Linked DNA regions of Arabidopsis thaliana. The protein of the gene in region 3 interacts with the protein of the main gene of each other region in a pairwise test. Each region holds a gene or a part of one and is shown on either strand. Other genes may lie near its edges. The genes, in order: AT3G06435, AT2G18240 and AT1G30080.

Region 1 (3,757 bases), on a different chromosome or scaffold from region 3:
TAGTTTGGATCGCATGAAAACATATCTAAACATAAGTCTTTGTTAGGGGTCGGATTGGGCCCTTCTCAAGTAGTTCATCAGCTCGCCCTTCTCAAGAAGCTCGTTAGCTCGCTCCACTTCGTCAAGCTCTTCAGATCGCCTTTAAGCTCTTCAAACTCGACTCGTCCTCAAGCTCCTCAGCTCGTCTTCAAGCTCTTCCCATCACTCAGCGACCATTTCCTCGCCTAGCTGTCAGCTAGTCAGCTCGTCCAACTCCTCGTCTAGCTATCAGCTCATCCCTCGTCAACTACCTGCCGACCTACCTCCAATGACGGCCTAGCTCACTTATTCTAATATGAACTACGTGTGGCTTGATCCCTTTCTAAGGGTACGTAGGCAACCTTTTACAAGGTTCAGCTATAAAACGAATAAACTCTATTCTTCCTCGGACATCAAGTTCGTCTTCCGGCCTCAAGCTCGCCTTTCATCTACAATCAGCTCGTTCTTACTCCATCTATGCTCGTTGAAGAAATCATCCTTTGTAATCCGTCCAATTCGCCTAAGTCGCAGGCTCGTCTTTAATAGAAAGATTCTTCCTTCCCTAGAGATCCCATTTTCGTACTTGTGTGATTCGTGCATCAACAGTTGGCGCGCCAGGTAGGGGGATAGCTCGAAGTGGCTTGATCCCTTTCTAAGGGTACGTAGGCAACCTTTTACAAGGTTCAGCTATAAAACGAATAAACTCTATTCTTCCTCGGACATCAAGTTCGTCTTCCGGCATCAAGCTCGCCTTTCATCTACAATCAGCTCGTTCTTACTCCATCTATGCTCGTTGAAGAAATCATCCTTTGTAATCCGTCCAATTCGCCTAAGTCGCAGGCTCGTCTTTAATAGAAAGATTCTTCCTTCCCTAGAGATCCCATTTTCGTACTTGTGTGATTCGTGCATCAACAGTTGGCGCGCCAGGTAGGGGGATAGCTCGAAGATATCTCTCAAAACTACGACCCCGCGACGAAGCAAAGTGATAACAAACAGACTACATGGAGCATTCGATACCGACTCGTCAGGCTCTGGAAGTAAAACGACAACGTCGATCCCCGGGAGAGCCAGTCACTCGACCTCTTCATTCGATATCGCAGCATGTTCTCCGACAAGAAAAGGACTTCAAGGAACTATCGACCCCATCATCCTAGGCGATGACACTTCCAGCCCGGCAGTCAGGACAATAACACTGACCAACGAGGAAGTGCCGCCGATCAAAGAGGAACATCCCATAACCTCATTAAACATACCGACCTCGTTATCACTCACGCCTAACCAAGAACAAGAGGAGAAGTCATCAGGCGGGCGTCACTTGGAGAACCTCGACGATGACACTCCCAGCTCGGCAGCTCGGACGATAACGTCAGCGCACGGGAAGACAACTCAAATAAAGGAAGAATACTACTCGGTATGTAAAAAAATTTTATTATTACTTTTTCAACCTAGTTATTTGCAGGTAAAAAAATCATTACTTTTTAAAAAGGCTAGCAGACGAATCAACACGGTATGCTATTAACTAAAACCAAAATAAAAATAAAACTTAGTGGTTTTCCAAAAATAAAAAACAGTGAGCGGATGACAGTTGTCAAAAGCAGCACATGGTTTTACTTACTTTCCCGGTTTAAAGAAAGAAGCAAACCCTAGTTTTAGAGCATCTTTCTTTCTTTCTTTCTTTTTCCCGTCGCTTTTAAAGCATCTTTCTTATCCGTCGCAGTTCATCTTCCTAACTCCATCTCTATAAAAGAAAAACCCCGGCAACAATGGCCAAAAAATCTAAGCGAAACCAAAATAATAAAGGAAAGACGAAGATTCCCCAGAGAGTTGAAGTGTTTGGTGTGAATGATCCAGTAACCAGATTTGGTTGGACTATCATGGCTTTTCTCTGCGTTTTTGGAGCTGTGGGTGCTGTGAATGCCTTGGAGATCCAGATGGATGTCTCTTATCTGGTAATGTTTGTTGTAGCTATCTATGTGATTCCAGTCTTGCATTCCATTTTCTCTGAAGCTCCATCTCCAGTTTACAGAGCACATCGATGGGTGAGAACTGTTATCCCTCTCATACTGCTTACCATAATCTACTTTACTGTCTTCAATTTCCAAACCCTTGCAGCATCTGTTTTGATCATATCAGTGGTTTTTGGAATTTTCGTGTTGGTTCAGTTGGTTTTCCCTGTAGAAAGATTTTACTTTTTTTATGTAGTGCTCATTTTGTTATTTGGATGCTGCTCAGCTGTATTTGCTGGTCAGTATGATCCCAAAACCCAGCCATTTGGGTTCTGCCTATTAACTCTCTTTGTTTTTGAAATGTTTTTCTACTTTTTCTACTATCCTGGGCCTACTAATAGGGCATTCAAATTCTATTAGATTACTCTCAAAATGATTGTCAGATCTAATTCACAAGAGACTTTTTTTGCATGTATAAATATCTGGATATTTAAGCATGACTTAGACTATCTATTTTTTTTTTTATAAATTATATTAGTTGATCTTGTTAGTTTGGTTAGGAAGGTATTAAAATATTACAAAGTGGATTTTTTTCTTAAATGACCGCTACACTGCTTATCTCGAATTTGGAATATTTCCATACTAATGTTTGGGAGTAGCCATATAGCCTATTGTTGGACTACCATCATAATATAAACTGTTAGGGTCTAATCTAGATTTTCGATATAAATGTGATATTTGTTTTAGGAAAGCTCGAACCCTTGGAGAGTGTTTTAGCACATCCCAAATCTCACTAATTACGGATAACTATGTATATATCTATTTTTAGATCTCTTATATTTGAAAACTAGCTAGATAGATTTTTTGAGACAAATCATTACCATTCAAAGCACCTCATATCTAACTAGATGAATGTGGTAGATGCAACTCTTTTTTTTTCTTTATTAGAAATTTAGGATACAGTCTTTATTAGTGAGACGCTATAACTCAACGGAATATTGTTGTGACCAACATTTACCTAATTCGTATCCTTACAATCTCAAGATGGCAGCATAGTAAACGTTGGATATATGCTTTATCTTCTTCTTTTTATATCCAAAATATATAACGTTGTTTACCGTAATGCCGTCGAAAATGAGTATCATAGGGGAACTTTTTTGTAGACGTTGACAATTCAGTAGGGACCTCAAGAATACAGAAGAAGGAACAAAATAAGGAATGCTTCTGATTCATTGTCCATTGACGAGAGAACTTATTGGCCTTTTGCATGTAAACTAATAAATACATATCTTTTTTTTTGTCTAAAAAATAAATACATATCTTAAGTGTCGTCTTTCCACTAAGCAGATTTCTCACCTGTGCAAATATTGTCCCTCTAAGAAAAACCTTTTCTTTATGTAAACATTGTCCCTAATCATGTTTTCCAATTATGTCTTGGATACTAGAAAAAATTCGAAAAGACACTCATATTTTTATATACATCCCAATATAAAAATTTTTATCCTACACTAGAAAACACATATAAAATAGAAATGGCGATGCATGTGAAGATATGATAAATTAAGTCTAGGCCTCCGTTATGACCCGAAACAAAATTTCTAAACCGACCGAGCCAGTTTTGAAAAGTATCCAACCCTATTAACTCATCATAAAAGTGTTTATTTTCTAATTTTCAGCTCAATATATGTCAATTCTTATAAAAGCCCCCAATATGAATACCAGTTAAAAAAAAAAAAATGAATACCAGTTACCACGCAGTTGCCCAACGTAAAACTACGATTTCTCTATTATAG
Region 2 (3,757 bases), on a different chromosome or scaffold from region 3:
TCAAAGCATATATGATGCAAGCAGAGACTGCCAAAGAACACTGTACCTTAATAAGGCCACTGTTCTTGTCTAGCTCGTACTTAACCTTTCCACCTTTGCTAATTTCAACAACCTGACAAAGAATTCAAGCACATTTAACAATCACAAGACCAGCACTAACTTTCTTAATATGATCTAATCTTCCGCAATGTAGAAGAAGATAAAACTTACACAGTTGAAAACAGTAGGAGCTTCTGGACCTGAAAGATTCAACAAACAAAACACTTACATCAAACAATCAACACTTGACTCACATGACTATTCAAAGTAACAAAGACAAGGATTCTTACCAATCTCCAAGTCATGCCAAGGATGAGCAGCAGCTGATCTGTGAGTGAAGGCTGCAAAGTTTCTCTCATTCAGCGTAACATTAGGGTTCCTGAGAGGGAAAGCATAGCCCTTGGCGCTTCCTTCATCCTTGATTTCAGCCATATCGGATGTTCACTATAATATGCAAACAAAAGGAGAGTCTCATTCAATCATATACCAAACTCAAAACAGGCCATATAAATTATTCTCACTACTTAACCATTTCATACAATAACCACCAGACAAATCCTTCAACATTCCAGCAGAATCCAATCTTATAAACCATAAAAAATGACTGTTCAAATCCGAGCAGAGAAATGAAGCACACATTTCTACGATGGTTCACTGTTCTAATGCAACTCAATATCATCTTAGGCAAATATCTAACAACGCGAAAGGCTAAAGTATCAGAGATATGCGAAGAACATAGATCCATCATCGATTTCATGTAAATACACATCAAAACACTCAAATCACCAACTAGTCTAAGCTACATCAATTGGAAACTGAAATAGAATCGAAAAACAGAACTAATCCAAACAAATGAAAGATAATCGACGAATCGATCATCTGTGAAGACCAATCCAAGTACTCGGCGCTCAAAACGAAACGAAACCAACAAGAAAATAGCAAAATCAAACGAAATCGCTTCGATTCAACAAGAAGTGATCAAAACAAGTACCATTAACAGGAGAAGATAAACTAAAAATGACCTAATCGACGGATTTCGAAGGAAAAAAAGAAACGAGAGAAGAAGAAGAAGATGATCTTACAGATGAAATCTCAAGCTTCAATCGCGAAACCGAAGCAGAGAATCCGTAACGTTTTTTTCTTTCTTTCTTCTCTCTTCGTTTAAGAAAACAACAAGATTTTGCAGTTACAGTAGAGTTTTCGTGTGACTGTGTGTGTGGCGCTTCTTTATGGGACGTTGGAGGAGGAAGAAGACGCTGACGTCACTTTTTCCTCGGTTATTGTTCATCGTCAATCGTACGATGAATCGTGTCCGTTGAATTTGAAAGGTTAATGGATCTGACGGCCATGGTTTTTCAAGATTTTAATATCTTTCTTAAAAAAATAGTTAGTGTACCTTTTAATTGAACGAAAAGAAAAAGAGACGACAGTGATGTACCAAAAAAGTATCCGACTAACAAATTGTTATATGACGCGTGTCCTGAAAATTAGGCAATTTCTTTCAGTGAATTCCTTATTTTATTTTGTCTGTTTTTGGCAAACAAATTTATTATTTTCTTAGGATAAAGAAATGAATTTATATCACTCATTCTTCTTTCTTTCTTTTTTGTTTTCACTCAAAATCAGTCACTCATTATTCTGTGTATTTATTATTTTCTTTTTTGTTTTCATTATTCTGTCACAAAAACAAGTTGAATAACAAATTACCACTTTTGATATTTTTCTTTTTTCATAAGTATCTAATATGTCAAATGGGAAAAAATGATCATTATTGAGCTGTGGGGTTAACCACAACCAAAAAAACTGTGTCGTATGGATGTGACCATCGAGCAGTGTTTTTTTGGTGACTGTCAACTAGAATTACAAGTCTAGAGAATCATACGCAAAACGTTAAAATTCGGTTTAAGGTCCCAGAGAAACAAAAAAGATTCGGTTTTGGATTCTTTCTGGTTGGGCCTCACAGAATATCGAATCGTTCCATGTAAAAACCAAAAAAAGTTCAACATATTTTCCCTACTGGGCTTAAACAAATATTTTATGAAGCCCAACATGTTTAACAAAAGTATCTTACTTTGCGACACGTGTCATGTTCCTTCTCCCCACGTCATTCAGTTTCTTCCTCTTCTTTCCAGAAAAACCAAGACTTTAATACGACTAAGAAAAATTCAGACGAAACTGAGAAACTTTCAATTTAATTGGTTCAAAATCATCCTAAATCGAGTAGATTGTTTTGAATCGATTTTTGAAGTTGATTCGAAGTTCAGTGATTGTGATTAGAATTTATAACCAGACCCAGTTTTTGAGGTGAAGAAAAAGCAGATTTTGTGTTCAATTTCCATGGAAGACGAACCAGGAAGCGAAAATGAAGCAGACACCATAGTTGCTTCACCACTTGCAAAATGGAGAATCGAATTCTCGAAATCGTTTCAGAATTACTTAGACAGATCTGCTCCTAACATTGTTCGAAGATGGCTTGTGACTTTAGTCGCTGCAGTGATCTATATCTATAGGGTTTACTCTGTTTATGGATACTTCGTTATCTCTTATGGCTTAGCTACTTATATCTTAAATCTCTTGATTGGTTTCCTTTCCCCTAAAGTTGATCCTGAACTTGAAGCTTTGGATCCTGATTCTTTACCTGTTGATGAGTCTGATGAGTATAAGCCCTTTGTTCGTCGTCTTCCTGAGTTCAAGTTCTGGTAAAATTTCTCTTTTACTTTTGATGATGGATGATTTTGATTTAGGTTTGTCGAAAAGTTTGTGTTTTTACCATTCATTGTTAAAGTTCTGGTAGATTTCTTCTTTTGAGACAATTTGATTGATGATTGTTATGATAGTGAATTCGTATGAGAACTGATTTAGGTCTAATGGTCTGCTTTAGGGTTTGAATTCTCATGAAAGTTTGTCAATTTTGATTTTCAGGTATGCAGCGACTAAAGCATTTGTTGTTGCATTTGTGATGACATTCTTCTCTTTCCTGGATGTGCCTGTGTTCTGGCCGATCTTGTTGTGTTACTGGTTGGTTTTGTATTCTTTAACTATGAAACGCTTAATCGTGCACATGTTCAAGTATAGATACTTTCCTTTCGATGTAAGAAAGCCTGTGAAGCTGCTCAAGTTTCTTGTAAACAGTGTCCTGACCTTTTTAAGACTCAAGGTAAATCGTGCAACGGGGTGATTTGTATTCGATTTCTTTTGGATAGTCTTGAATCTCTGCTTTAGAAAGTTAAGAGTGCTGAACATAGATTGTGCTGATGTTTTTGACAGAAGGGTGATGGTGGAGATGATAGGCCCAGCAGCAGCAATTCATCTCAGGGAAATGAAAAACAAGATTAGATGCGAACAGTAGATCAGGTACTGATCTCGACGTGGTGATAGGCGAAGCAAGAAAGGATACAAACTAAGGATATCAAAGTAAAATATACTATAGCCATGCTGGTGGAATAGGAAAACAAAGTTCTTGAAGCTTAACAGAACTAAGAAATCTCTCTGAGTTTTGAGTAATCTCCTGCATTTTCCGGTTTTTGCATTGTAATGTGTAACAGTGTATTTTACAATTATACGTTTAAATGAATTTGGGAATCACAAGTAGGAAAAAGTATTCTTTACAGTTCCAGGACTTGGATACTACTCTGGACACAACTAATCACACAAAGCTGTGTTGACAGCCTCCAATACCAAGCACTGGTCCAAATCTCTTTGCAGAAACAGATACAGA
Region 3 (3,757 bases):
AAAGAAACGTCACAATTCTCTTCTTTTTTAGACAACAGGTCAGAATTTGTTTTAAAAATGTTTCTCAATCAAAGCTTTTTTCAAGGGATTTAATGTGCTATATAAAGATTAAAAAGAAAGAAATATGGAAGTAAGAGATCTAGTAGAAACAGAGCAAGTAAAGTTAAATGTTGATACATACCGTGGAGGCAGAGGAAGTGAGGGAAATAATAGAAGTTGAAGAAGTAGTTGATGTTGATGTTAATGATGACGACGATAATAAACCTACATTGTAAGTCATGGTCTCATCAGGCTGATACAATCCATAATTCCTCTCAGAGGTTGGTCCTGGTTTAAGGTCTTCATTGAAAAGAGCAAATAGATAAACATCAAAACTCAAGTTTGGTCTCAATGGCGTTCCTTCATTTTGAAGTTGTCTCCTTAGAATATTTTTGTTATAAACGGCTGCGTTGGCCACAGTGGCTCCAACCTCATCTCCATCGCCTTTAGACGGCCATCCAGTCTCCGAGACCCCAACTTCGATGTCTTTGAAGCCAAGCCTCGCCATGGCAAAGATCACAGCGTCTACTTGAGCGTAGAGCATGTTGTCATAGCGGTACTTGGTATAGGGGTCAACCATTCCAGGGTTAGGGTTGAAGAGGACGTAGTCTAATGGGATCTTTGTTGGGGAATCCTTGTAAGCGAAGTAAGGGTAAGCGTTGATCCAGAAGGGGGAATTCGTGTTACGCAAGAAACCTAGTAGCTGTGTCATTACGCCAGCTACTTCCGGCCTAAAACATCCGGCGGATGGAGGGTAAGATTCTTGAAGGACGGATAGTGAGTTCGGAGTCGATACTTGAATGTACTTGTCTAGTCCGGTTTGGACCAAAGCCCCATGAATGCTCATCATTGCAGGCATAAGATACCTGCGAATCATAGCAATAACGAGGTTGAATACTTTCTTCTTTTTTTGAACTAGAGGATCTCAGGATGATACCCACATGACTACCATGATTTGGTTAGTAGGGCATATTTGTAATGGACCAAGATTTGAAAAGGATAACAATTTATAGGAATGAGGGGATGTATGTAACAAACCCTATAAGGCTTGAGTCATCGTCAGTGTATAGTTCGTTGCCGACGGCGATACCACCGATCTTGGTGGCCGGAAAGTAGGGTTTGATACGGGTAGTGACCCATTGGAGAGCTTGTTGAGGGTCTACTAAGCTGGGAAGCATTTCATTTTCGACGGTGACAAAGAGCTCGATATTGGAATTGGCAAATGAGGTTAACACTCGAGGGTTTGTGTCATAGATTCTTGTCTTATTGATATGGAGTGAACTCAAGAGTTGTAGAACTTTGTCCGGTGGAGGAAGATTGTCGCCGACTTGACCATAGTTGATGCCAAGAGAGGAGACCCTTTGAAACAACAATCCATGTTCTGTGAAAAAAATGTAAGAGAAATTTAAATAATTAAAGTGTAATGACAAACTGAAATTGAGATAATGAATTTTGTTTGTTGGTAGACAGAAATAAGCAATTATTCAAAAACGATACCTAAGAAAGTCAAGGAAAATAGAAGAAGAACGATAGAGTTGGTCATGGCAATTCTGCTAAACATGTTAGACATGGAGAAGAGAGAAAGAGGGAGATAAAGACTGAGGGAGAAAGTGCTTGTAAGAGAATCAATGCAATGAAATGTGGGGATAGATATAGAGATGAAGAATTGAGAAATGGGACCAAGTAGGCGACGAATAATTATTAATTTATAATTTAGAGATAATACTTTACTTTGCCTGCCTTTGTTTTATGGTGAGACATAGGGTTTCTACAATAAAAGTGACAATATGATTAATTCCAAAAATAATTCAATAAGTTATTTAAATTTATACTCGTTAGTTTTGTAATGGGAGTAGGTTTGGCAATAGGTTTATCTTATGGAAGTCTATTGTAAAAATAGATAGTGTTTGCCAAAAACATTCTTTGTGAGGCAACATGGGTTTCATAAAACATTTTGGACCCAAGAAGAAAAAAATATGACATCTTAGATTGTCTCTTTCCAACACATTGCCAACTATGTCAGTCCAAAAAAAAAAAAAAATGAAAAAGTGGCCTAAAAGAAGACACTTTCTTCAGACAAAGGCAAAGGTGGGAAAAATTGAATTGCCCACTATAATAGGTTTTTAATCTTAACAATATGTCTATTAAACACAAAGAAAAAAAAAACATTATGTCTTTGGCATAGAATTTGGAGGATCCCAAATTTGGTAGTTGGGTGAACCAAAAAAATGGAACGTAAAGAGTAGAAATCACACCATCATAATGATAAGAAGGATAGTGCGCTTATCTTCAGTTTATTATATTTATATAGTATTGCAATTTGCATCTTGTGAAATAAAAGCTCTTTTAAAAAACATTGTAACGATTGTTAGAATTGTATTTCACGTGAAATTATAGTATGACCCTCAGTTAATCCTATATTTGATATTCAACGGAGTTTAGTCGCATATTTAAAACTGATCCTACGTTTCAATTCAGAATTTATATACCGTTAGCTTACATGTAAAAGTAAATATTTCTAAATTCAACCTAACTCATCTAGTCAACCCGCTCGATCACAAAAAAAATTAGGTTGCACAACGGTTCATTATTTATGTTTTAGATGAAATAAAATAAATTAATTACTCGATTAATCAATCAATGGAAAAAAACGGTTTTAAACAAGTTTACAAAAAGAAAAGTTAATCAAAGTTGATATGTAAATTTACAGCCTAATTGGCCCTAGCCAATAATTTAGTTGTCTGAAACAATTTTTTTTTTCTTTCAGTTTGATATTAAAACAATAAAAGCTCTAACTATACACCAGGTGATAATTGTAATTCAACTTCATTTTGTACAGATTTTTGGAAGTTTGGGTTGTTACTTTTCTTATAGAACGGACTTCTTACTACAGTATAACCTCTATAAATTAATAACCTTTATAAATTAATAAATTCTTCCGGTCCCGAGTTGGGACTAGTGTAAAAAATGACACAAATCGATAAATTAATAAGATAATAATTTTTTGGAAAGTTCTATGTAAATATATGGTCTCATCGATATCATAAATTAATAATTGTATAAATATATCAACTATATATATATATTATATGTAAAAAATTTCTTTAAAATATATTTATAATAATTTTTTGTTTAAATTCATATTTGTTATTTGTTTGATTATAGTTTTCATATTTTACTATACCAAAACTTTTGTTATTTGTTTAATAATGTTTTCTAGACATTATTATTATGTTTTATTTGTAACTGGTTCTAGAAATATATTTTTTATAATGAAAAAAATCTTATAAATTTTTTTAAAAAGTTACCAAATTAAGAAAATCTCTCTATAAATTAATAAATATTAATTTATCAATAAATTAATACCTCTCTAAATTAATAAAATTTTGCAGTCCCAAATAGAGGTTATACTGTATATCGGATATTGATTAATTTCTGAAAATTTCAAATATATTAAATGGAATAGAGATCTGAAAACATATGTAAAGTAGCCTGCTTTATGAAATGATGCAACAAAAGTGACCCAATTTTATTTTTTTCGTAACCAACCCAAGAATCTAGTAACTTTTTTGTTTTTGCTAAACAAGAATCTAGTAACTTTTGGAAGATGAATTTCACTATAACGATACTTGTTTATTTGTTACATCCTACATATATACATTAATATACAACATATGAATATGCCTGTGTATACTTACTTGTTTTGGAATAAGACAAA

What was found.
Region 1: the proteins of AT1G30080 (region 3) and AT3G06435 interact in a protein complementation assay, tested with the Arabidopsis thaliana proteins (one large-scale study listed by BioGRID).
Region 2: the proteins of AT1G30080 (region 3) and AT2G18240 interact in a protein complementation assay, tested with the Arabidopsis thaliana proteins (one large-scale study listed by BioGRID).

Annotation. Positions count from the first base shown.
Region 1 is NC_003074.8:1,968,729-1,972,485, reverse strand, and holds AT3G06435 (uncharacterized protein), read left to right. Parts: upstream 1-1,701; 5' UTR 1,702-1,771; coding exon of another isoform or gene 1,772-1,781; coding exon 1,782-2,384; 3' UTR 2,385-3,127; coding exon of another isoform or gene 3,128-3,145; 3' UTR 3,146-3,450; downstream 3,451-3,757. Other genes in the region: AT3G06436 (uncharacterized protein), read right to left, coding at 1,490-1,537, 1,772-1,794, 1,874-2,081, 2,123-2,146.
Region 2 is NC_003071.7:7,933,090-7,936,846, forward strand, and holds the start of AT2G18240 (Rer1 family protein), read left to right. Parts: upstream 1-2,154; 5' UTR 2,155-2,376; coding exon 2,377-2,738; intron 2,739-2,961; coding exon 2,962-3,196; intron 3,197-3,306; coding exon 3,307-3,375; 3' UTR 3,376-3,757. Other genes in the region: PPa2 (pyrophosphorylase 2), read right to left, coding at 47-112, 211-239, 330-471. UniProt on the Arabidopsis thaliana protein: Involved in the retrieval of endoplasmic reticulum membrane proteins from the early Golgi compartment.
Region 3 is NC_003070.9:10,551,559-10,555,315, forward strand, and holds the start of AT1G30080 (Glycosyl hydrolase superfamily protein), read right to left. Parts: upstream 1,738-3,757; 5' UTR 1,610-1,737; coding exon 1,537-1,609; intron 1,421-1,536; coding exon 1,078-1,420; intron 906-1,077; coding exon 182-905; coding exon of another isoform or gene 164-181; exon of another isoform or gene 1-163.